Schizosaccharomyces pombe: one gene and its partner. The protein of the gene in region 1 interacts with the protein of each later gene in a pairwise test. Each region holds a gene or a part of one and is shown in the gene's direction. Other genes may lie near its edges. The genes, in order: SPOM_SPAC22G7.03 and sws1.

Region 1 (3,569 bases):
GCCTGGCTTACTCGGTTATTTGAAACGAGTTTTGCTATAAAGGCTTCGGCTTTCCAAAACCCGCAACTATTAAAAACCTGTTCTCAATTATTAAGCAGTTGCTCTTGCTTTCTTCAAAATCACCCTCAATATCTTAATATATCTTTGCCAGTTTTATTCGATGCCTTACACATTTCTGAAACTTCAATACAAATGACTGTCTCTCGTTCAATACACACTCTATGTACAACTTGTGCATCCCATCTATTAACTGAAATCGACGGATTCATGGCGGTGGTTGAAGAACTAACACCCAAGCTGGTATATGTACCTTCTGTGCTAGAAAAGATTTATAGCTCCGTTGGATATGTTACACAACGTATAGAAGATATTGAATTAAGAATCAGTTATCTGATGAGACTTTTAAACTGCATTCTCGCACAACTTCAACCAAGTTTATATCCTAATCTTGAAATATTCGAAAACGTTTTGAAATCCTGCCTCCAAAGCGTAGCCGGAGTGGCCTTAAGTCAGAGTCCAATTGGCGAAAGTCCAATAATTGATGTTGAGCAATCTACCCAGGAAACAACTTTTTGGCAGCAATCGTGCATTGCAGAATTTCAAGCAAAACTCATTTCCTTTTTGACCCATTCCGAGTCTATGGCGTTACAGTATTCCGACGTCGTTGGGGTAGGTGATCTGTTAAACCGAAAATACTAATATGATATAGTTAATTTGCAAGATTATGATTGCTGGTCTTAATGAAGTAGAGCCTTCTCCATTTTCATTGCCTATAGTAACTACCATTCAATACTTCTGTGACAGATTTACAGAATTTCCGGCAGCAGTTTTGCTAACGTTGGGATCAGCAATTTTGACATGTCCTTACGGCCAGACTGATATTATTGACAAAGTGCTAATTGATATGTGCTCATCGATTCAAAATTCTGTTGTTATAATCAATGAAGGTAAATAATTAGCAGCAATGTGCCATACTAACTAAAATAGAATCATTTATGAACAATATCGACATTACAGTCGAATTATATCACTTCTTTTCAATAATTCTTCAAAAACACCCCTCATTTTTAGAAACGATGTATCCAGATTTTACCCAACTTATTTTAAACCGCGCGATTAATTTGCTTGGCAAGCCTGAGAGATTGTTAGAATCAGCAGCCGGCCAATTTATTGTAAGTGATCATTATCTGTTAAAAATATTAACATTAAGATTTCATTCATTACGTCCGAAAAAAGCGACCTCCTAAACACTCATACAGATTTCGTGAATGCAATTCGAAGTCCTCTTATTGCTAAAATACTATTGGTAAACAATATTTATGCTTTTTTTGCAAACTAATACTGATTTATAGGGGTTCGGTGGAAATGCATCACGGAGCTCTTTACCGTTGCTTTCAGATATATTAGGAAAATTAAAGGCACAAAATTTCTCTGCGACAAGAGCATGCCTTACTCAGTCACTTGAAGAAGAAGGATTTCCTTCACGGAATGTTTCAAATGAGATCAAACGTCGATTTTTAACAGATCTTCTTAAGTAAGCATTATTTGTCGTTTTCATCACGTCTATGTAATGATTATCTTGTTAACAACAAATTCTAGGGCACGAATAAAAGACAAAGTAAAACAATTTTGGATACTTTGCAAAGGACTAGAAAGTACTCCTTATGGCAATTCAAGCTGGACCTTTTAAATCATGTAATAAATAAAATAGCTTGGTAGGAAACTGCCAAGCTACATAGTCTCCAGTTAATTAACTTTGTATAATAAAAGATAAGCAAAATGCTGCTTATTCTAAAATTTACGAGAAATAACATTCGTTTTTTTAAAGAAGTAAATAGGCTGAAATTTTTTGATCAAATTGGTTTTTAAGATTTTCGAGTATTTATTGAGCACAACACGTAAATTATCTTTATACTACTTAATGCAACAACTAATTAAAGAGCATTTTGGAAATGGGGGAAAGGTCAGGTCAACGAGCATTGAATACCCCATTTTTGTTCATTCTGGAAGTATCTCTGCTATGTTGCTTACTTTAGTAAATGCCCTTGAGTGCAATGATGTGGACGAAGGCGTGTTAGTATATCCAACAGGTTCGACTAATCCAATGGAAAACATTCTAAGAATGGAAAATCCATTTGATGGATTTTTAGCTAAGGAAGCTTATTCCATTCATTTTCAATCAGTTTTAGAACGAATTCAATTGATTCCTTGTTCTCATGTGGATGATTTAGAAAAAATAGTTGAAGTACGTTTAAAGCACGCAAAATTAATACTGGGAATAGCAGATATTTCCAAACTGCTAAAAATTAGGGGTTGCTTAAATGGACGTTACCTATCTAGGTATTTGATGCTTTGCTTACAAAATAGTAAAATACTTATAGTTTGTGAGACAGGAGGTTTACAAGAACGAATACCTATTATTGAAGATATTTCAATTAATGAGGATACACAACGTACCGTTAGCTTAGAAACTATTTATGCTACATGGATACCAACATTCTGGGAATCGAAAAGAAAATCGCATGAGAAAGATGAAGGACGATTAGTCGATCGAAGACACAAAGTTTTAGTAGATTGGCTTGCTAATACATGCTTTCGTGGCATGAGTTTAAAAGATCATTCTGCATTATAATTTTCATAACCAGGCGCTTAATATAATATTTAGTTCTAATGAAAAGGCATATAAAACATTGCAGATTATCAACTATATACAAATGTTTAATATAACTATTTAATATCTGATTGAAATCACAATCGTAGGTTTGTGTTGTATTACTAGTTTTCATTAGGTAAACCTGGCTTGCTATGACCAACACTTCAACTCCTAGAGAAAGAGGTTATAGTCAACTGTTTGAAATGAGAGATGGATGCGTGGAAAGAAGTAATTATTTTTATAATATTCCATTATAAATTTTAACAAATTAGATTACCAAAACAACTGAAAATGATGGTGTATCGACGTGTTCCTTAAGTTCTATTGCTTTTGATCCCTACTCAGAATTAGTATGGACTGGACATAAAAATGTAAGTTAGATTAAAGATTAATTATGAAACTAAGTAAATTCTAGGGTCAAATTAAATCTTCTTTCGGACCCTCACTAACATCGTATACTCAATTCATTGGGCATGAGGGTCCGGTGCACCAAGTATTACCACAGGAAAGGGGTGTATTTTCCCTTTCTAGTAAATCTTTACGATTGAGTAATCGCAAAGGAACAATAAGATGGAGATATCAGTAAGTATATCATGATATGCATTCTTGATCTAGTAGTTCCGTACCTTGTGTTCAGCGATCTATGATCATTTTGTATTCATGCTTTCTATGTTCAAAACATGCAGTACTAATCTCTAGGGATTCTGATTGTATAGATTACCGGGCTATGTTCTACCAGAGTCGTAATAATCCCGAAGTTGTTATAGGAGGATATCATCAAAAGCTTACGGTTGTTAATGCTGAACGAGGAATTTCAATTCATAAGGTAATGTTCCTTTGTGTCCTGTATCACTAACATTTAATAGGACAAAAACGTTAGTGACATTTTCATAATGCGAAGGAATAGACTTCTCTG
Region 2 (3,558 bases), on another chromosome or scaffold:
AGAATAAGACGACCAGCGTCTCTGATACATTTCAAAGGAATTTAGATAGCTATCTACAGAGGCATTAGTCAGGTTTCTCGGTGCCTCTGGAGGGATGGGTGCCTGGATAGTTGGAACGGATGGAGGTTTGGGCAGCACTTTAGCAACTTCATCATCATCCCCTTCAATGGCAAGGGATCTCAGTATCGACTGAAGCTGGTCATCATACTCAGTCGAGTTAGATGTTGAATCGTTCTCTGCGGACAAGTCATTTAGCTGAGACCGAGTTTGATTTCGAGAAAGAGAAGAAGATTTAGAACGACTTAAGGGCTTAGGGGGTAAAGGTTTAGAAGTGGGATGTCTAAATGGAATTTCAGGTTTTGATGGTGAATTATTATCAGAATGCTCAAGTTTTATTTCAGGTGTGATATCAGTTTGATAAACGGATGGGTGCTCTGGAGTGTTTGGAGAAGTAAAAATAATAGATTCTTCAGATGTATCTTTAAAACGTTCATTATTTGATGAAGAAGAACTTCTTGGAGAGGATTTTGTTATTGAAGAATTTTCAACACCATTGGAATTCAAACCATTGGATATCTCAGACAACGGAGTATAGGTGCGTCGCTTTTCACGAAGCGATTCTAAATACAACTTGGCATTAAATTTATTATAGTTAGGGCCTTTAAAACGAGGACTACTAGAAATTGGATCCACCACGTTTTCAGTAGCATATCCATTCTTCTTAAAAATTGGAGACGTTTTTGGATGCAAATAACCAGATGATATGTAGCTTTTTGAGGTAGATACCTCTTTAAAGCTATTGTTCTTTTCCATTTTTCCGGAAGCGGAAAAAGATCGATGAAGTGAGAAGTTTGTGATATTGTTATCTTTCGAATCTACGTTTTCCCGGTCTTGTTTCTTCTTTTTTTCAGCAAATTTGGTAGCCATTGTGACACTAACCTTGGATGCAACTTTCGTGGAAATATCATTCTTTGGTCCACTTTTTTTTGGACGGAATCGCAGCACCCCATCAGGGCGACCGGCTTCTAGTAATCTTCTTTGATCAAATAACTCTCGAAGCTTTGGATCCTTTAAAACTTCATGAGCTTTTTGTATCAACTGAAACTGTGGAAGAACCTCGGCTTCCCGACCGGGGTTACGATCGGGATGGTATCGTAAAACAAGCTTTAAATATTGCTGTCGAATTTCGACATAACTACTGGTACTTTCCGCTCCAAGGATGGTGTAATAATCCACAAATTCATCATGAAACGCCGTCCTCGCCATTCACGAGCCTTTAAAATATGCGACACCTTTCTTAAAAAGATAAAAAAGTTTGAAATTGGTTTATAAAACTTTTAAATTTCACCCAAGTAATGAAACCTTTGTAACTAACCGATTTTTGAGGTTTTCCTGAAACTGCTCGAAATAGTGTTTTCGACTTAAATTAACTTGTAAAACGTTCGTTCCTTTTTCTTTATTTTCGCAAATATTAGTTAAGAAAAATAAAACGAGTTAAAAATTTTAACGATTAAACTCTACTTTGTATCTTCTATACTTGACTAGAGCAAACAAAGACACCCCTCGAATTTGTGATTTTTACAACTTCATTAGTTTATAGCTTTGCTACGTGTTTTCCGCTTATTAGAACAAGCGAAAGCAAAGCAGATTTTTGCTGTTTTGCTTTTGGTAAGAGTTGATGAACAAAGAAGTAGTGATACTTTGAAACGAATTTGCTAATCTTTTTGAAGAGCCTATTCAATCATCCAAACTTGTCAGCATAAGTCAATAAATTAGATTATTATCTTCATTGTCATCAATTGTGTTTTCTGGATGTTGTTTGAGCTTTATGTTTTGGGGCATTGCTGAGTCTTAATAAACTTCAATGCAGCAGGGTCATTTTACTTCGAATAGTTACCACAGTAAAACTTTAAATAGTTCATCTCTACCTGTATCTTCAAAATTTTCTCACACTAATGATCCTGATGTTGAAGGCGTTGACAATGATAGTTTCTCCAAGGCATTGTGTAACAAAGATTTAGATCCTTCTTCCACTATTCGTTCAGTTATAAGCTCTTTATTAGATTCTTTACAAGATAAAGCGCTCCAACAGTCACCCAACACCTCTTTGTCAAAATTACTGTTGGAAGACCAGGATTTTGGAAGCTTGTGGTTGTCATTAAGTTTTATATTTTGTAACTACTGGCAACCTGCTATGCTGATTTTGGATTCTAAAAGCATTCATCCACTACCATTAACCGATGGTGAAGTTTTACATCGATGGGAATGTGAAGTGGATTCGAATAATAAAACTACGATTGATTTGAAGTATTGGTATTGTTCATGCTCTCAATTCTCTTACAATGCTTTTAATAGCTCGAGATCTTTTGACGAGCCAATGCCCAAAAATGAGCAAGAAACCTGGGGTGGAAGATGTCTTTCCCACCACCCTACGATTTGTTCCCATATTTTAGCTGCTTCGATTTTACGTGCTTGCCATAATCTGGTAATTTAAAAAACGTTAACCCAATTCGTTTAATTGTGACTTGACTATGATATTTAACAGTAAGGGCCGTTTAAATTGCTTTCTCAATGTAAAAGAAGAAAATACGATATGATATTCATACAACGTGATTAAAAAAAAATGTCTTATTCAGATTATGTTATGCTTTAGTTATGATGCAAGTTCATGAACCCTGAACTGGTATAAAAAAGAGAATATTGTAAGTGGAAGACGAAGCTAGCATAAGTGATTAAATGGAAAGTAAATTCCAAAATGTTCATGAAGTAGTATATGTAAAAATAAATGGTAAAGATACTCAAATTCGTTTATGAGCTTTTTCCTCTATTCCAAGATAGATATCTTGGATCGCCTACGCGTCTAGGTTTGATCAAGCAAGCAATACTAAGGATTACACCGCTCGCGGCGCAGAGCCCACCGATAACAAAATAAAGAATTCCTAAAAAGTAGTTCTTTCCTCCAATAACGGATGTTGTTGAAAACATAATAGTTTTCGTTCCTTTATATTCTGTGACAGGAAAGTTATAAGTGATATTCATTTCATAAATGCCAGGTTGAAGTGCAGTAGTAACGTTTCGAAGAGCAAGTTTGCTGAATGTTGGAAGAGCAGCAGCTCTCATCCAAATTTGAAAGGCATCCCATGTAGAAACATCGGGAATATTGTCGTCAGTATATCCATTGGGAAACATTTTTGCCCAATTTGGAGGTGGAACAATTTGGGAAGCATTGTACTTAGTTTTTTTGTATCTTTCTCTATCTTCCGGCCACGCAGTACCATTTGTAGTCATATTGTAAAGTCCAAGGGAATTTGAGCTATCAAAGGATTCGTATCGTAGAAGAGAAGAATAGCTATCGTTGAAAAGCGAGTTTGCGATAATGCCACAGGGGTAATAAGGTTTCCCTTCCTCATTTGCTTCTAACGGCTTGCAGAAACCATAGCTCTTCAGTTGTGCAACAGTTCGTGCTTCGCCTAGCAACTGAAACATATCGGCGCTAACAGTATATCGACGATGGTTTTGATAAAAATTTTTGAGACGATAAAAAGCAAACACGGGACT

The links.
Region 2: the proteins of SPOM_SPAC22G7.03 (region 1) and sws1 interact in a two-hybrid assay, tested with the Schizosaccharomyces pombe proteins (one large-scale study listed by BioGRID).

Annotation. Positions count from the first base shown.
Region 1 is NC_003424.3:730,017-733,585, forward strand, and holds SPOM_SPAC22G7.03 (uncharacterized protein), read left to right. Parts: upstream 1-1,911; 5' UTR 1,912-1,921; coding exon 1,922-2,632; 3' UTR 2,633-2,743; downstream 2,744-3,569. Other genes in the region: karyopherin Kap111, read left to right, coding at 1-669, 710-947, 988-1,172, 1,211-1,306, 1,353-1,534, 1,600-1,690; poly(A)-specific ribonuclease complex subunit Pan2, read left to right, coding at 2,864-2,881, 2,926-3,024, 3,069-3,235, 3,353-3,479, 3,520-3,569.
Region 2 is NC_003423.3:1,493,288-1,496,845, forward strand, and holds sws1 (SWIM domain-containing Srs2-interacting protein 1), read left to right. Parts: upstream 1-1,542; 5' UTR 1,543-1,668; exon of another isoform or gene 1,669-1,730; 5' UTR 1,731-1,864; coding exon 1,865-2,494; 3' UTR 2,495-2,724; downstream 2,725-3,558. Other genes in the region: random septum position protein, DNAJ domain protein Rsp1, read right to left, coding at 1-1,266; aminophospholipid translocase regulatory protein Ivn1, read right to left, coding at 2,809-3,558.